Linked DNA regions of Neurospora crassa OR74A. The protein of the gene in region 3 interacts with the protein of the main gene of each other region in a biochemical or structural test. Links are inferred from orthologs where the notes say so. Each region holds a gene or a part of one and is shown on either strand. Other genes may lie near its edges. The genes, in order: NCU03732, aod-2, prk-10 and NCU08811.

Region 1 (4,470 bases), about 580 kb from region 3:
CATCTGGGCCACCCTCTCCCAGTATCGTCCCAACACAACTGGAACGCTTGTGAGGATGCGCCCCGACACGCTGGTACCAGAGCCCATCTTGAGCGTTGCAGACCACCAGGGAGGAGCGGTCCACGACACAAAGTCCGGAACTGTAGTCACCTTGAACTGGGGGTCGCGCAAAGCGTCGATCTGGAACGGGCACGACAAGCATCTGGCGCCCGCCAAGTTCACTCAGCCGCGGGCAGTGGTCAGGAATCCGAGCAGCTTCATTGACTATCAGGATTGCAAATTCCTGGGTCGTTACGAGCTTTACGAGACCCGGCCAGTGATGTTATGCTCTGGCGTTGCAGACTTGGCGAACACGAGAATCGGCGGTATCGCGATAGTGGACATGGAAACTATGGTTCCTTTACACGAGGTTCCTGTGACCTTGGTGTCGGAACATGGTGCTGCAATGACCAAGAATCCAATGGATGTGGCTGTCGTGGACGGTAAGATGAGGCTGTTCTTCCTGCCCGATGAAAGGAATTCGACTCTCTATGTGTACGAAGCGGTTTGAGTTAGGACATACCGAGCAACGTGGATTATTCTTCTCGGTGTTTGTTTTGGCGTGTTTTTGCACCTTTTTTTTTTTTTTTTTTTTGCCTTCGTCAGGGGTCATCAGAGCAGGTCAACCGGGCTTATTTGGAAAGTCATGACAGTAGGCCTCAGGTCTAACTTGTTCTAGATCTGCTCTGTACCGTCGTGATTCGAGAAATAGAGTCCCGCTTTGCTTCTCCTTGGTGGTTGATGACACATATTTGACGAACTAGTTTAATCCTTCATATGGAGAAGTTCTTGAAGACATGCTTTGACTTTGATCTGCTCCTGACTACAAGTTCTATGGTGAGCTATCCAGGCCTCATTTGTGTGGAGTTGTCGCGGATTTTCCTTATCATGGGGCTGTCATTAAAAGATCGAGTGCGGCCGTTGCTTGCTGTTGGCTTCCATGAGGTTGTGCAACCTTCTTCGTTGCCTTGTAATAAGGCACAATGTAAGGATGATTGATTGGAATCGCGATCATGATTTACGGCAATCCATCCTGTTTCATCGATGCGAGTGAGTACCAGAAGAATGGGATTGCGGGCGAATGGGTATACTGGTATGACGAACTGAGCTGGATCTAACTTTCAAATATCTGGTGATGTGCAGCCCATCGAAGGTGCTGGGTGATGATGTTCATCTTTGATAGGTGCTCCGGACGCGTCCCAACCGCTCAGCAGACTGCTAGCACAGTTTCGCTGAGGTCAAGCGAAGGTCAACTACTTAATGGAGCTTCCCTTCCTGCTAGCTGGCTTGGCGGCCCGCATCAGTTAGTGGGGACTTGGCCTGGACTTACATTGTTAGTATTACTCTTTCCCTGCAGCAGCAAACTGCTCGGGGACATGAAGATTACTAACAGGCGCTACTTTTAGCATGTACCCACTACGCGAGCCCTGCGTCACTATCTCCAGGTCTTGGAAGCCGATAGGCTCACGGTCGAAGGTTCTACAACCTCCTGTTCCTGCTACACACGCCCTTCGCCAAGGCATTTTATGGCCTTGTCCCTCCCTCTTCCACCAAGTGATAGCTTCCTCTCCGACTCTGTGTTGCATCTCAATTCTGTTCAATATCTGAAATCCCTACTCTTGCATTGCGAATTTGCTCTCGCGCATTCCATCAAGATCGACTTTGACAGGCGCTTTACGAGCCATCCAAAGGACCCACGAGCGCTATAGAATCGCTAACGTCTAATACGCATCTGTCATCGCTACCTCACTCTACCTTAATTACCCTACCCGTACCACTACAACAACACAGAACACGTCGGGTTAATTGTTCTCCCTTGCACCTAACGACCGCCGAGACACTTCGCGGCTCTGATCAAGCTTCGCGAAACAGCCTCTACATTTTTACTAGACTCACATACACTACACTCGTCTCTAATATTGCGTCACAAAGATGGTCAAGGAAACGAAGCTCTACGACCTGCTAGGGATCAGCCCTACGGCTACCCAGGACGAGATCAAGAAAGCCTACAGGTGAGCATATCTCCAACCCGAAACCCCACATAACTGCTCTCGCATCTCGCAGTATAAGATCGAGGGAGAGATCTCCTCTTTCCTACGCCATCCTTCTTTCACTTTGGCATTCACATCATCCTCTCTTACAGCCTTCAGTGGACCCCTGCTGACCCCTCACCAGGAAAGCCGCCCTAAAATGGCACCCCGACAAGAACAAGGACAACCCGGAGGCTGCCGAAAAATTCAAGGAGTGCTCTCAGGCGTATGAAATCCTTTCGGATCCCGAGAAACGCAAGATGTACGATCAGTTCGGCCTTGAATTTATCCTGAGAGGCGGCCCGCCCCCGACTGAGGGCGGCGCAAACCCATTTGCCGGAGCTGGTGGCATGCCCGAGGGCTTTGCTTCTTTCTTTGGAGGAGGAGGCATGCCTGGTGGCGGAGGAGGTGCGAGAACATTTTCCTATGGATTCAATTTTACCAACCCCGAGGACCTCTTCCGGGATGCTTTCCGGGATGAAAAGATGGGCGGCGGCATGGGTGGTGGCATGGGTGGTGGCATGGGCGGAATGGGTTTTGAAGACATCCTCTTTAATGCTGCGCGTGGTGGTGCAGGACAGCGCCGAACTGCGAGAAACCCCTTCGGCGGCGCCGACAACATGCGCAGCGCCCGCCAAGCAACACCCGAAGTCACGACAGTTGAACGCCCCTTACCCGTATCCCTTGAGGATCTGTTCCACGGCACGACGAAGAAAATGAAGATCAAGCGCAAGACCTTTGACGAGACCGGTAAGCGCACGACGAGCGATACCGTCTTGGAGGTACCAATCAAGCCCGGCCTCAAGAAGGGTAGCAAAATCCGGTTCAAGGGTGTTGGTGATCAAGAAGAGGGTGGCCAGCAGGATTTGGTGTTCGTCGTCGAAGAGGTACGTATAAACTCCCTTCCCTTTCTTCACGCATTGCCTTTTTGAAGGAATGGCCAGCTGACAATGTGGTTTTAGAAACCACATCCGCTTTTCACTCGGGACGGCAACGACCTAATTCATACTATCGACTTAGACCTCAAGGAGGCATTGACAGGGTGGAAGAGAACCATCACGACGATCGACGGCAAGAGCATTAACATTGAGAAGGCCGGCCCGACACAACCTGGGAGCCAAGATGTATATCCGGGCCTGGGCATGCCCATCTCGAAGCAACCAGGCCAACGGGGCAACCTCATCGTCAAGTATAATGTCAAGTTCCCCACCAGCTTGACGCCTGAACAAAAGGAAAAACTGAAGGAAATCCTCTAAATGGGGTCAAGCGATGAGTATCGGTTCTCTGTGGTAGTTCACTCTCGGATACCTTTGTCCTTCTTGTCGCCTCAACAGGAAGGGACCAGCAGTCTTGGATTGGCCTGAAGAACAGCTTTTAACGCCGGCCTTTGACAACATTCGGGAACCTGTTCGGATCCACCCCCTTGAGTGTATGTAGAATGGTGGGCGTGTTGGATTTGTTTTTTACCCGGGGGGCATTTGCTTTGGTCTCTGTCCGCCATGTGCGGTTCTTGACCATGGTCCACCATATTTGGGCGTTACTGGATTTGTTTCTTCTTTTGGTGCTCAGCTTTCATCGCGTCAGGCTCGCATTGAGATTGGTATTGTTGGTTTAGGCGGCATGTGTGGTGGGAGCTGATGATGACAATTTTCATGATAATGAGTATCCCCGACAAAAGTTCTTAGGCCCCCTGTTGTGAATGTTGGGAGAGGAAAGGGCGCTGGTCTCTCTTAGCATGTTGCGTCCTCTCAAGGTTCAACAATAGCCAGAGACACGCGAGGCCAACGTCAATGGGAATACCATAGCAGGCTTAGATATCAAATGGCTATATCTTTTATAGAAGACGGCTTGGACTACTGCATCTCGGAATGGATTCAAGGTGACAATCCTCGGTCACCACCACCAAACGACACACACGAGGAGAAAATTGATCGTGACCATAGACTACCAAGCGGGGTGGCTAGAACCGATAGATGGACATAGTTACTACAGAATGAAAATCAATGTGCCCAGAAAATCTCTCCCTTTCTCGACTTGACCTTGGAGAGAAACCATAACTTGCTGAAAGACGACGCGGAGCGACATGTGGGAATATGTGCAAGTTCCAGCTACAACAAGTTGGCCAAATAAACACACAGTCGTGTACGTATCTTAGGGGGGGAAGCCACGGCGGGGCCGAATCCAACTGCGAAGAACGATGATTCAACTTGTCCACTTTTCACTTCATCTTGGCTCTCATCACGGGATTTTTGAAAGTACAAACAAGAGGGACAACGACATTGTTAGGTCGGCCCGTCTACCTACCCAACAGCCATTCCAACACCCCGCCAAGCCAAGGATTACATATAACCGGCTGGCTGGTCGATCGGGAAACGCGGCATAATGGGAGAATGAGCGGAAG
Region 2 (4,592 bases), on a different chromosome or scaffold from region 3:
GCTGAGACACAAGATTCGAATACTGTCGGACGCGACTAGATTGTCTTCTCGTGGATTTAGTGACGACGGGTTTATGGCCCCTTGTCTTGGCCCTTGGCCTGAAGACAATGGTTCGCAAGAAGAAACTCCATCTTTTGCTTTCATGCTTGAGGGCCGCTCGCTGGATGGCCTGCTCGTCTTGTCGTCCCATGGTTCGGTACCGAGAATCTCTGCAAGCTGTGATGAGATATCGCAACCATTGGAGTCGTAGCAATGAGTCTCGTAGTCAACAGAAGCTGGCCAGTGCAGTGATAGAGCCTTTGTCTCGTCATGATAAAGCACTGATGGGTTTGACGGGACCTGACTGGCTGACAGGTCGTCCAAAGGCGCCAACGAATCGCAACTCATGCAGAAGGGTATGCCTCCGTCAACCAGATAGACATCTGGTCGACCACACGTTTCTCGATGCCAGGAGATCATATTTGGCTGACAATTGAGTTTATTGCCCCCAAAGCTGGGATGAGTTGTGGAGTACACGATGGACACGACAGGAAGTTGAGGATCTCGAATCTGGGAAGTGAATGTCAGGATGTCAAACTGAGTGATAATGATGGGGTTTCAGCCCCCTTATGACCAGGCGATAGGCCATTAGTCGGGACGAAGATAGCCATCTCGTAGTAGAAGTCTCAGAGGTAGGTTCACTTGGTTGCGGTCAACAGACTTCCCCGCTCTAGACCTATTGCATCAATTAGGCTCACGATTCCTTACTGCCTGCTGTGAAACAAAACGGCCCTTATTGGCTGCTCTGGCTAGTTAGACACAGCCTGGTAAAGATCGCCCGCCTGTTGGATCTCTGCAGGGAAATCGGAGCAAGACTCATGCGCTTCAGTTCTCTTGGAAGATCAAGAACTTGAACCCATCTGCATTTTGAGTCAACAGAGTGCTGCGCATGACTTCATGTCGTTATATGTGCTCCTGCAACGTTGGAGTTGTTATTCAGGCATATAGATCAAATAGGTAAACCCAACACGAATATGATGGTCGGCAGAAGAGTCACATGTAAAGACTGAACATGGAGTAGGTACGTATGTGCACTAAAATGCCGACAAATCGTGGACAAGTTAGCATGGGATATTATGTAAGTCATAGCATTGGCCTCGGTTTTGATTGGAGGCTCCCGAAAGGGAAAGAGGACGCATGATCACAAGGGCACTGAACTTTTTGTTCTTGGTTGTTTTTGGTTCCCTTTTGAGTTCCAGATTGATTTGGTCCTCACTCTTCATTTACCACAGTGACCACAAGGATACCTTTGAGTGATGGCTTGGTGATATTATCGGTACATGTAAAACACCGGTCTATAGTTCAGCATTCAACATCGACATCTCGAAATTCATCAGCTGGCGAATCCAGGCTTCAGGACCCCACTTGCTGTTTTCGACTTGAAGGTGTGCAAGGAAAGTTACAGCGGGTTACACACTGTGGCCAGCCCTGCAGCAAGGCACCTGTGGGTGTCCATCCCCTCCTGTCCAGCGGTCCTGGCGAATGAGGGCGGGCGGACAAGAGGAACCCCTGCCGTTCTTGGTGTCCCGGTCTGGCCGTCTGTTGCATCCTTCAGGTTCCATTACATGGGAGACGCCGCATGCAATTGAGCTTGCGCGACAGTGGAGGCCAATGAGGCTCCCTCGGTGCCGGCAAACAAAAAGTATCGATTACGGAACTTTGACAAGAGAGCCATTTTCCCGAGACGAACCGCCAGAATCCTGCCGTACTGCTGCCGCCAGTCGACGACCATTGCCGTCTTGAATCAATGTTCATCGCAGTCGCATGACCGAGCCCGTAACCACTTGCGAACGACGCAGTCACGGACCATAACCACAAAGGAACGCGACCGCTACCTACCTATACACTTGAGACTTGGACGAAAGGTGACGAGCCGAGGCAACCGTAACGAAACGAGCTTACCAACCGACCGGGGAACCCGAGCAGAACACCAAGGAAAGAACAATACCGGAGGAAACATCCGCCAAACGTCAACAACGCCCGAGGTTGTTAAAAGAGAAGATTCATATTTAAGGGAAAGAGGTGTAAGAACAACCACAACAAAGGCTGGCTCGGAATCAACGTTAAACTGCCACCATCCCCCTGCGAGGAGCCGCCGGCCTGGCTTTAGATGAGCAGTGAACTCAACGGCCGTTGCGTAACCACCAGATCCAATGGGAGCCTCTACACTCGATAAGCAATGACGGGAACAGAAGCCACGGAAAAGCCCAACGGCAAAGAGGCGGGAACCAAGGACATCACCAAGTCCGGAAGCGACACCAAGCCCAAGGATCACCATCCCACGCCCGCTGACGATGTGCAAAAGGCGCCCAAGAAGCGCCGCAAGGTCAATCATGGTACTTTTTCCGCTGTCTTCCTGCCTACATCACTTGACCGCTCTTCTCCAGCTTGCTAACTTTGTCTGGTGCGCCTGTTGTAGCCTGCCTTTACTGCCGCCGATCTGTAAGTCGACCAGAATGCACCGCCGACACCCCATCTCCTGCCGTGCTAGTTACCCAGGCTTCGTACATGGGCTACCGTAACTGCCATAGTACGGAGTCCTGCAGAAGACCCCGCTCGGTCTCGATATACACACAGACTTTACTAGTTATCCTGGTGGCTGACCATGTTGTTTTGGCTGCCTTAGCACATGACGTGTGATCTTGTATGTATTCCTCCCCCCTTCGCCAAGGTGGAGCTCTAGCTAACGAATTTTTCGTTACCATTCATAGGAGAGACCTTGTACAAGATGCATCAAGCGAAACATCGGCCATCTCTGCCACGATGAGCCTCGCGATACCGAGTCGCGCAAGGCCAAGAGCGTGCTTGGGACTTCGACCCTACATGACTCCGAGTCCCAGCCGGACATTGGGCGCAACGCTACAGACAAGGCCATGAGACCACCCGGTTTTGATAGCGGTATGGGCAATGGATCTGTCCAGGTAGCAGGTGCTGCAGCGGTAGGCCGGGGCGCTCCTCTCCAGCTCGTGCAACCAGGTTCTGTTGCTGGTATACAAGCCAGCGCCCTTGGCGGTAGCATGAATCAATGTGAGTGTTGGCGCTGGATCCTCCTTTTGCCTTTCTCCACTATGGTCAGTCAGTTGCTGAAATTGCCCAACATAGTTGCCGGACTTCCGGATTCTTGGTTAACCACTCAAAACCACTATCACGACATGCACAACTTCCATCCAAACTACATGGTGGCACCAGAGGTTACGAATGAATTCAATCTATTGAACGAATTCTTGTCGGCAGGCTTGCTCGAGGAGTCGGCCTTCATGTCTGATGATCATGGCCTAATATTGGGGGCCAACCAGTCTGCGGTGTCGGGATTGCCAAATGCCAATAACAACGGCAACAATGCTAGCAGTAACAACAAGGGAAACAGTAGCAGCACCAGCGGCATGCTCCCCCCAAGTGCCACACAGGGGACCTCGATGCTACCACCAAGTAGCGACCAAACAACGGCGATAGGGAAGCCCGCGAGTACAAACTTGGATAATGCCCGGGATGCATACTATCTTCAAGCGGCAGATCCGTCCGGAAACGACACACCGGAGGAACGCATGCAGCGCTTGCTACGAGCCAAGTACGAAGCCGGACTATTAAAGCCGTTCAACTACATCCTTGGCTATAAGAGGCTATCGGATTACCTGGATGGACACGTGTCGCCGACGTCAAAACAAAAGATTCTAAAGCAGATCGACCGATTTCGACCCAAGTTCCGCGAGAAGATACAATTGTTGACTGATATGGACCTGCTGATGGTGGAAATGTGGTTCGAGAGGACGCTGTTGGAGTACGACCGAGTTTTTGCCAGTATGGCCGTTCCAGCCTGCTGCTGGAGACGAACCGGACAGATTTTCAGGGGAAACAAAGAGATGGCGGAGCTCATAGGCGTGCCAGTAGAGAGTTTACGAGGGGTAAGAGACACAGCACCAATGCGCCGACGTGGAATATTAGCTATGATGCTGACTTTGGTTTTGCTTAGGGTCAAATCGCCCTGCATGAGATCCTGACGGAAGAGTCGAACGTGAGATACTGGGAAGAATTCGGCACAATAGCATTCGACCCGGCTCACGATACCCTGATCACAGCGTGTTCACTCAAGAACCCCAACGATGACAAGGGGACCAAAGTTGTGAACTGTTGCTTTTCTTTCAGGATCCGTAGGGACGATCACAAGATGTAAGTGTCTTTTGTTTTTCACGGATCCCCTGTGTTTGTTACAGGCAAAGTGGTATGGTGGTGAGGCTAACAGGTACATGTAGTCCGAGCTTGATTGTTGGCAACTTCCTCCCACACGACCCATGACAGTGTTTAGTATACACTCTGCCACAACATATATTTCCCAAATCAGTGCTCCTGTGATCCGCAATGCGGATGAACAATGCGACACTTGTTTCCCATGAGCAGCAATTGCTAGCTTTGGTCGGATAAGAAGCGCGGTGAACAGTACATGGGTTTGCGACAATCCATCAGAACTACCTAATTAGCGTTACTGGTATGGCCATGCTCGATACGGGACTTGATGCTTATCGTTAGTGGGCAGGATATGCATTTCGCGCAAACTA
Region 3 (4,651 bases):
GTCCGGCGGCGAGGGCCCGAGAAATCACACCCAAGTGTTCGCCAACTCGCTCACGGCTTCCATCTTCTCTCTGCTCCACGCTTATCAGCTGCATGTGCGCAAGCAGACGCTGATCGCTAATCCCACCAGCACAGGGACCGGTAGCCTTTGCTTCTCCTGGGGCGGCGACTTGTTGGTGATTGGTATCATTGCCAATTATGCCTGTGTTGCGGCCGACACCTTTAGCTCCGAGCTGGGCATTCTGTCCAAGGGCGAGCCGCGCCTAATCACAAGCTGGAACTTGCGCAAGGTACCGCGTGGCACCAACGGCGGCGTTTCCCTCGTCGGTCTTGGCGCTGGCCTGTTGGGCAGCATGATCATCGTTACGGCGTCCATGCTTCTTCTGCCTCTTTGCACTGACGAGACGGCTACGAGACTTGGCGGTGCCGCGGGCTGGTCACTGGGACAGCGCCGCATGCTGATTCTCGGTCTCACGGTCTGGGGTTTTTTGGGCAGCGTTGTGGACAGCATTTTGGGCGGGCTCTTCCAGGCCAGTGTCAAGGATGTGCGTACGGGCAAGATTGTGGAGGGCGAGGGTGGCGTGAGGGTACTGGTTACCAACGCTACGAACCCCAACAACGTTGCCGGTCGGACTAAGGCTGAGATTAAGTCGTCTCTTCTGTCTGGCGAGGGGACGGATGCGGTGGAGGATGTCGGCGCCGCTGCCGGTAACAAGTACGATTCGCGCAACAAGCAGCGGAGGTCGAGCTTTGGAGACGAGAGGCCGTCGCGAGTGGTGGAGAACGGCTGGGACCTGCTTGATAACAATGATGTCAACTTCTTGATGGCATTCGGCATGAGCGTGGGAGCGATGGCCGTCGCATCATGGTATTGGGGAGTTCCTCTGCAGTCTGTGTTGTCGCCATGGTGGGCATAAGGCAGTCGCAGGTGGGTGGTGAATGACTTTCGCTAGAGATGTTGGCTAGCTAAACAATTCCATGGATGACATATGAGAGCTCAGTCGTCATTTTGATTACACATTCAGATCACGGCTTTGGGTGAAGCTTGGGCAGGTACCTTGCTCGCTATCCGGATGATGCTAACCAAAAGCCGGCGCGATTGACCATTGAGGTTCTCATTGTACCAAACATCCACAATTCAAGACCAGCGATCCGTACATGGGATCGAAGACCAGCCTGGCTTACAATTGAATCCTTTGGTATTCTATACACGAGAACGTTGTATACCTAGTCTTTGTAATTTCGACTTGCTACCATTTTGGGCCATAATGTGTGGTAGACACGTATAGGCGTACACAGGGCTTTTATCGGCCTTGTGACAATGGTCCTGTGACCGAGCCGGATGACCTCCCCTCGGCCAGCCAGGCGGTAGTAACGAAACATGAAGTAGGTACAGTAGCTGATGAATGATGGAACTTTCCGTCCGGCTCGGCAGCCCCGTTGTACCTAAGTTAAGGTGGCCGCTTTCCGGAGCGCTCTGACCCCGCGATGCTGCCGTTTGTCGTCCCTGCATCCTTCCAACTCCTCCACTAATTCCCCCATTCTTCACCCCAGATCCCCGCCCGACTCCTTCCACCCCGTTTTCCATTACACCATCTCTGGATTGTTGCCCCGCTGCAGTGTTCGCTTGTCCACTTCCTCCTATGGAACCTAACAGCTCCAACACCCACTTGATTGCCCGCTGCGCTGCCCGTCCACCGCGATTGCTGATTCTTGTCGGCTGACAACCGAACACCGACCGAATGCGCATCCGATACATGATGTTCTCCTGAACAAAGCAAGGCGGTACCTTACATCGACCGACGACGCTACAACACAGACAGCCCACCGAGCCTTGACTTGACGTCCCTAGCTTCATTAGCTCCAACCTCTTGGGTCTGTTCGCTCCCGCTCCCAGGATTCAATCGAGGGACCATCGCGGTTCCTCCATTGCCCATTCACCCTCTTCACCAGCCAGTCGGACGACATCTGGTCAGACGAAACGAACGACCTTCCATCCGCGATTCAGTGTCGTCCACTTGTGTTGCAAGCGACTCCGTCTGCCATGGCACAGGCCTACGATGACGAGGAGCTTTCCATCTCCTTGTCTCCTTCTCAGATCCGAAGTCGCAATAAGCGATCCGGCGATGGCGCATCAGGCTTCGGCCCCAGTACCGGCAACCTCCACGAATACGGTCAACACGGTCAGCAATTACACCCTAATATCAACGCCGTCATGGCCGACGCACCCCTCCGCGACAAGATGCGCACCGAGCAGCGCATCGGTGCCTATAACATTGTCAAGACGCTCGGCGAAGGCAGCTTCGGAAAGGTCAAGCTGGCTGTCCATCGCATGACCGGCCAGCAGGTCGCTCTCAAGATCATCGCCCGCAAGAAGCTCATCAGCCGCGACATGCAAGGTCGCGTAGAGCGCGAGATTGAGTATCTTCAATTGCTAAGGCATCCCCATATCATCAAGCTGTAAGGCACCCCTCGACGCCCATGCGCAGCAGACGTTGGCTCTGGTCCTTTACGTACACGTTGGCTAACCCGGCGCGCATACCAGGTACACCGTTATCAAAACACCAACCGAGATCATCATGGTGCTAGAGTATGCCGGCGGCGAATTGTTCGATTACATTGTTCAACATGGAAAGATGAAGGAGGACGAAGCCCGCCGCTTCTTTCAGCAGATGCTATGCGCCGTCGAATACTGTCATCGTCACAAGATCGTTCATCGCGACCTAAAGCCCGAAAACCTCTTGCTGGACGATAATCTCAATGTCAAAATTGCCGATTTTGGTCTTAGCAATATCATGACCGACGGTAATTTCCTCAAGACCAGCTGCGGCTCTCCCAATTACGCGGCTCCCGAGGTCATTGGCGGCAAGCTTTACGCAGGACCCGAAGTCGATGTCTGGAGTTGCGGTGTCATTCTTTACGTCCTACTCGTCGGGCGCCTCCCTTTCGACGACGAGCATATCCCCAGTCTTTTTGCCAAAATTGCGCGTGGAAGCTACATGGTGCCGACCTGGATGAGTCCCGGCGCGGCGTCACTAATCAAGAAGATGTTGGTTGTCAACCCTGTTCAACGTGCCACAATTGACGAAATCCGCCAGGACCCGTGGTTCCTCAAGGATCTGCCGGCTTACCTTCACCCTCCTGTTGAGGAGTTCCTCAATACTGGCGTGGACCCCAACAAGGCCATCAAGGTTAGCGACATTGCGCCAAATGCCCCTCCGCAGGAACAGGAGAAGTTGCATAATGAGGTCACGGAGAAGATCAGTAAAACCATGGGCTACGGCAAGAGAGATGTCGAAGAGGCCTTGGAGGCCGATGAACCCTCGGCCATCAAAGATGCCTACATGATCGTGCGTGAGAACAAGCTGATGCAGAGTAACCGTGAGTCTACGCTCCCTCCCAGCAAGTCTTTTGTCTTCTCATCATTGGAACCTATCGATCCCTTTGCGATGCTATACTCGTCCGTTTTGTCCTTCTTTCGCAGTTGATTTTGCCACGTCCCATCCTCCTTCGGCGTCCATTTTACACTTGCCTAGTGGTGAACATCGCTTGACGCAAAAAAAAAGCAAATCCTTGAGTTTGCGACCATCGTCCTTTTGGAGCAACACCAATGAGGAATACCAGGATACCCTACTAAAAACCGATGAAGAAATTCCAGGCCTCACGACAGAGGAGTCTGTCCCGAGTCCGCTCCATGACCCGAATATGTCATCAGCTCGCTCGATCGCATCCGTTAGCACAGCAACTTCACCGCGGCCATATGTCAGCAAGATCGGTATTTTGCCTAGCAGTCTTCCTACCTACCACAGGGTCTTTATGGAGCGAGAGAAGGCCAAGGCCGAAGGTCTTGAGCCCCCTGATGCCATCCCCACCATCGTTGAGCCGGCAAATCAGCCGCGCAGCCAAGCTGAACAAGAAGAGACTATCCGAAGACTCAAGCCACATTCGAGGAGTCAACTTCGCCTTGACGAGGCCAACAAGCGCCCACAAGGACTTACCCCCGTCCACCCGCCCAAGAAGAACAAGCCTGCTCGATGGCAATTTGGTATTCGATCCCGGAACGCTCCTTGGGAGGCGCTGGTGTGTATTTACAAGGCGCTAAACAAGCTTGGCGCTGGGTGGATTGTCGATGAAGACTACGAAAGAGCCCACCGGGACGATGACGACACTGATGACTATGATGGGCCTAGTATCGGGTCCCGCAAGAAGTCATCATCCAGCATGGATCCCACCAAGACATATAGACTTCCTGCGGACCCCTGGCATATCAAGATTCGGTGGACAACTGATAGTGAGTTTCCGGTCTGTCCGGCCCAAATGGCAAAGTTTGGCTAACATTGGCTGTCAGAGCTCAAAAAGCATTCGGTTGCCTCCGGCCTCAGCGAAGCAGGAGAGAACACGCATGTTAGCCGGGATGGCAGCGACAGCAAATACCAGGTTGTGGCCATGCGTATGGAGATTCAGATATACGAAATGGAGCACGGCGTCTATCTTGTCGATTTCAAGGTAGACGGGTACGAGACCCCCGATGGAAAGCTTCTAGAGGATAAGGAAGTCACGAGCCCCTTCCCCTTCCTTGATATGGCGGCCAAACTCATCATGCAGTTGGCAGACGCAGATTGAGGTGCCCCGACAATCAATTAATGGCTTGC
Region 4 (4,471 bases), on a different chromosome or scaffold from region 3:
ATGACACACCGAAGATAACAAACATACTCATTGAAAGAAACAAGACTAACCGGCAAACCCATATTTCACTGCATCGCCGTTCATCATTGCAACAATGACCAGCAGCCTTGAACAATATTCATACAAGCGAATGGAAGCCTTTCAGTTCCACTTGACACCCAAGAACTTGAACTCCTTGTTGCCACCCTTCTTAGCAGCCGCCACTTCTGCCTCCTTATTCTCCAAGTAAATTCTCTGATGTCCCCTCACATCCACGTAAAAGGTCTGGTACTCATGCTCCCAGTGACCTGGTTGCTTGGTCAGATGCAGCCCGACGACACCAGAACCTCTTGGTCCTTCGACCTGTTTTTCTTGGTGTTAGCCCCATCATCACAACAAATTTTTAACAAAACAGGGGAAAGAAAAAGAAGAAGAAGAAGTAAAACGAACATGGAAATGCATCTTTAGATGCTCCACACCCCTATTATCCTTCTCGACCGTTGCCGCGATCGGCCGCGCCCGGCGCCACTTGTTGTGTGTCTCTTCGCCGTGAGCAGCAATCTTCTTTGGGTCGCCGGGCGAAAGAAGGGCGACGCAGCGAGGGTCGGCACGGATCCGGTCAACGGCTCGGTTGAAGTAGGCGGTTTTGGACTCTGGGGAGAACACGTCGGTGAAGAGTAGGTAGGCAATTCCTCCCTGTGTGGTAGAGTTAGTACTACACACAACACACCGGAGTGAGCGATGAATTGGGAAGAAGAAAGCGTACGGTCAAAACCACACCCAAAATCACCAGACCAAAGTTGAACGTTTGCTGGACGGCGCGCCCGGCTTTTTCACCGGTGGAGAGCCGAGTCCAGGGCACATGGCCATCATCATTGAAGGGCGTTACGGATCTCCTCTTGGAACTTTCTTGCGTAGTCGCATATTGCCGGCGCGATGAGACGAGAATGACGCTAGCTGCTGTCGGAGGAAGAGCTCTCGAAGCTGCTGTGGTAATGGTTGCTTGTTGACGGACCACGGCGGGGCTCAGAAGAAGCCTCACACCCGCCGAAGTACCTGTGAGCATTTTCATCATGGAGGCTTCAACACAACACCCATATTTCAACGGCAATGTTTCAGCCGTTTGCGATTGTTATGAGAGCTTCAATGAGAATGAGAGGTCCGAACGAAGCTGTGATGAGCTGCGGTTGGATGAAGCTTTGGAACCGTTTGCCGGCACGGCATCTTTCCCGGCAGAGGAGGTCCGTCCGGCGAGGGGTGGAGTCGGGTTCGTGTTGCGCTCCACTAGGTAGAGACGGGACTGTGTGCCAAGGCGCCAAGATGCCACATGGAAGGGCGAACCTCCATGAGCAAGTGGAAGCGTCTGATTCTTGGCTGGGGAACACAAAGAAATGTGGCCCAACGTTCCAGTGGACGTTCCAATACCATACAGGTACGTAGGTAGGTTGCCAGGCAGCCCGGCTCTCTCCGCTGGGGCTCCCCCCCCGTCTCCTGAATTAACTGCGAGCGAATGACAACACTTGAAAGATTGACAACTTGTAACAAGCCCGAAAACCTACAGCGCCGCCTTGTTTGACTTCTCTCCCTCTTCTGCCCCCTTTTTCACCTTCCCCCCCCTGACGGCAGCACCGACCTACCGACCCTGACAACCTAACCGAGCAAAGGGGTCATCAACAACGACAGTCGAGATCTAGTGACACATCACAACCCTGGCAAAGGACAGACATACCTAATCCGAACCATCACCGGACTGCCGACCGACAAGATGAGCGGTCTCGCGACAAAGCAGCAGTCGCTCAAGCTTTTTGAGAAGCTCAAGGCGAAGCCAGCCAACAAGGTATGTGCCCACGCGAGCAGCGATCGACCCTAGACATCCAGAAAGCTAACTGCTGCCTCCCTTCCCGCGAACAACAGATCTGCTTCGACTGCGGCCAAAAGAACCCAACATGGACCTCGGTCCCCTTTGGCATCTACCTCTGCCTCGATTGCTCGGCCAACCACCGCAACCTCGGCGTTCACATTTCCTTTGTGCGGTCTACTAACCTCGACCGTATGTGCCCTCTCGATCTTTACTCCACGACGCGACACCTCGCCCGCTAACGCGAACCTTGTTCTTGTACAGAATGGCAATGGGACCAGCTACGGATCATGAAGGTGGGCGGCAATGAGTCGGCAACCAAGTTCTTTCAGCAAAACGGTGGTTCCGCCGCCTTGAACAGCAAGGACCCCAAGACCAAGTACCAATCTGCTGCCGCGACCAAGTACAAGGAGGAGCTCAAGAAGAGGGCTGCTAGGGACGCCCGCGAGTATGCAATGCCCCTACCCCTCATTTACACAAACCTGTTTTATTCCACGTTACATGAAATGCAATGCTGACGCGCTGTTTACCTCCCACCCAGATACCCCGAAGAAGTTGTCATCACCGACGGTGACGATGCCACAAGCAGCAACACCCCGGCCGGCGAGCCCGACGACGACTTCTTTTCCTCGTGGGACAAGCCCGCCATCAAGAAGCCCACGCCACCCATTTCCCGCACTTCCACACCCCCCGTCATCGGCCGCACCGCCTCCCCGCTCCTCGGCAACGGCAAGGACATCCAGCGCACTTCCTCGCCGCTCTCCAAGACCGATTCCGATGCTCCCACTCCCGCCCCCGCCGCCAGCCGCATCACCACCTCCGCGGCCCTAAGGAAAACCACCCCCGGCAGCAGCACCACCGGCGGCCCGCGCAAGGTGGGCGGCGGCATCCTAGGCGCCAAGAAGCCCGCGGCTAAGCTGGGCGTCAAGAAGATTTCGGCGGACCTGATCGATTTCGACGAGGCGGAGAAGAAGGCCAAGGAGGAGGCGGAGCGCATCGAGAAGCTGGGTTACGATCCCGAGGCGGAGGAGGAGAAGGCGGCGAAGAAGGCCGAGACCAAGACCAATAATATCATCACCCCTGCTGCGGCGCCAGTCAGCTCCTCCAGTTCGCGGTCGGCGGCGCAGGAGAAGTCGGCTGCTGAGGTGGAGAGGCTAGGTATGGGTGTCAGGAAGCTGGGTTTCGGTATGGTGGGCAAGCCCGGTGGTGCTGGTGCTGCGGCGGGCGCGGGAGGAGCGGCGGCGGCGAAGAAGAATGCGGGTGGGTTTGGAAGTGTTGGGCCTATTAAGGCTAGTGAGGGTATGTTTTTTTTTTCCCTCCTTTCCCTTTCTTTTTTTTTCTTTTTCTTACGCAATACTAACCAACATCGATACGAAACAGCCGACGAAGAACAATACGCCCGCAACAAGTTCGCCAACCAAAAGGCCATCTCTTCGGACGAGTTTTTCAACAAGGGCAACTACGACCCCTCGGTCAAGGCCGAGACCAAGGCCCGTCTACAAGGCTTCGAGGGTGCCCAGGCCATCTCTTCCAATGCCTACTTTGGTCGTCCCGAGGACGACGCGCCCGCCGAAGACTACGGCGACCTCGAGTCTGCCGCCAAGGACTTCATTCGCAAGTTTGGCATCACTGCCAGCGATGATCTGGAGAACCTTACGCAGATGGTGGGTGAGGGTGCCGGGAGGTTGCAGGGTGCTATCAGGGCTTATCTTGGGAGCTGAGCGGTGGAAATGGAAGAATGAGGCAGCAGTGTGGGTGGGCAGCTGGACGTGATGGGCGAAGGGAATTACCTAGTTATGAGACAGAAAGATGTGGACGAGCGGGTAAGGCTTCCTTTTAGTAAAAATTAGTATTTGTAGTGTAATGGTGAATGAATGTTTTATGGTAGAGAGCACTAGTAGTCTGGGCAGATGATGCGGGTTTCTGATATCTAACGAAGAGGATGACGGCCAGGATCTGGATGAGCTGTTCTCACATCCGTGGCGTAGGGGGATCTTGGTAAGTGACCACGGGAAGTATTCAAGCAACAAGAAAGAGATATGATGGTGTTCTATAGCGTACGGTTTTTCGATTACGGTGGCAGTCGAGGTTGACAGGGAGAGATCGTGATGTTGATCAGGGTTTCAGCGAGATTTTTGCTAATAACTGACTCGCGCAACCATAATAGAAGCTACTGATATAGGGCCTACCTTCAGCGTAATTCTATCAATAACAACAGCTGGTCCGATGGTGTAGTTGGTTATCACGTCAGTCTAACACACTGAAGGTCCCCAGATCGAGCCTGGGTCGGATCATGAACCAAACTTTCTTTTTTTGCGATTGTTTTTGTTTTTTTATTGACCTAATGTTCTCGGCCCCCTTTTTTTTTTTTTTTTTTTTTTTTTTTTCCCTTTCCTGCAGGAGGAGGGAGAAGGGGGGGGGGGGGGGGGGGGGGAAGAATCGTCAGTCGCGCAGTGGTCACTTGCACTTTACCACTTGGTCCATGCTGTGCAGTCCACAATCCTCGTTGAAGTCTTTGCAAATAAAGACCTCTAGATGATGTGCCCTGCTTTCGGATTTACAATACGGTGTTTCTGAGGCGCAAGCAAGACCGAATGTCATTGCCATGCAAACGGTGGAGATATCCATAGGGAA

What was found.
Region 1: the proteins of prk-10 (region 3) and NCU03732 form a complex in vitro, tested with the Saccharomyces cerevisiae proteins (2 studies listed by BioGRID, with this or other methods). The link is inferred for Neurospora crassa OR74A from reciprocal best matches to the Saccharomyces cerevisiae genes SNF1 and SIS1.
Region 2: of the proteins of prk-10 (region 3) and aod-2, one has a biochemical effect on the other in vitro, tested with the Saccharomyces cerevisiae proteins (3 studies listed by BioGRID, with this or other methods). The link is inferred for Neurospora crassa OR74A from reciprocal best matches to the Saccharomyces cerevisiae genes SNF1 and RDS2.
Region 4: of the proteins of prk-10 (region 3) and NCU08811, one has a biochemical effect on the other in vitro, tested with the Saccharomyces cerevisiae proteins (2 studies listed by BioGRID). The link is inferred for Neurospora crassa OR74A from reciprocal best matches to the Saccharomyces cerevisiae genes SNF1 and GLO3.

The regions. Positions count from the first base shown.
Region 1 is NC_026505.1:2,238,508-2,242,977, reverse strand, and holds NCU03732 (SIS1), read left to right. Parts: upstream 1-1,536; 5' UTR 1,537-1,971; coding exon 1,972-2,051; intron 2,052-2,214; coding exon 2,215-2,956; intron 2,957-3,031; coding exon 3,032-3,325; 3' UTR 3,326-4,084; downstream 4,085-4,470. Other genes in the region: NCU03733 (hypothetical protein), read left to right, coding at 1-550. UniProt on the Saccharomyces cerevisiae protein: Required for nuclear migration during mitosis. It is required for the normal initiation of translation. Might mediate the dissociation of a specific protein complex of the translation machinery. Essential for viability.
Region 2 is NC_026502.1:1,002,612-1,007,203, forward strand, and holds the start of aod-2 (alternative oxidase-2), read left to right. Parts: upstream 1-1,660; 5' UTR 1,661-2,218; coding exon 2,219-2,375; intron 2,376-2,458; coding exon 2,459-2,481; intron 2,482-2,665; coding exon 2,666-2,683; intron 2,684-2,750; coding exon 2,751-3,066; intron 3,067-3,141; coding exon 3,142-3,941; intron 3,942-4,009; coding exon 4,010-4,206; intron 4,207-4,289; coding exon 4,290-4,332; 3' UTR 4,333-4,592. Other genes in the region: NCU03354 (hypothetical protein), read right to left, coding at 1-459. UniProt on the Saccharomyces cerevisiae protein: Transcription factor which regulates the expression of genes for gluconeogenesis, the TCA cycle, and glucose metabolism. Involved in the cell wall remodeling process and drug resistance.
Region 3 is NC_026505.1:1,659,825-1,664,475, reverse strand, and holds the start of prk-10 (protein kinase SNF1), read left to right. Parts: upstream 1-1,563; 5' UTR 1,564-2,043; coding exon 2,044-2,459; intron 2,460-2,544; coding exon 2,545-3,380; intron 3,381-3,648; coding exon 3,649-4,290; intron 4,291-4,347; coding exon 4,348-4,622; 3' UTR 4,623-4,651. Other genes in the region: NCU11040 (DUF92 domain-containing protein), read left to right, coding at 1-916. UniProt on the Saccharomyces cerevisiae protein: Serine/threonine protein kinase essential for release from glucose repression.
Region 4 is NC_026504.1:5,157,689-5,162,159, reverse strand, and holds NCU08811 (arf GTPase-activating protein), read left to right. Parts: upstream 1-1,408; 5' UTR 1,409-1,744; coding exon 1,745-1,816; intron 1,817-1,893; coding exon 1,894-2,029; intron 2,030-2,101; coding exon 2,102-2,285; intron 2,286-2,378; coding exon 2,379-3,136; intron 3,137-3,217; coding exon 3,218-3,558; 3' UTR 3,559-3,883; downstream 3,884-4,471. Other genes in the region: NCU08810 (mitochondrial import inner membrane translocase subunit tim-21), read right to left, coding at 142-342, 430-675, 746-1,054. UniProt on the Saccharomyces cerevisiae protein: GTPase-activating protein for the ADP ribosylation factor (ARF) family. Involved in retrograde vesicular transport from the Golgi to the endoplasmic reticulum.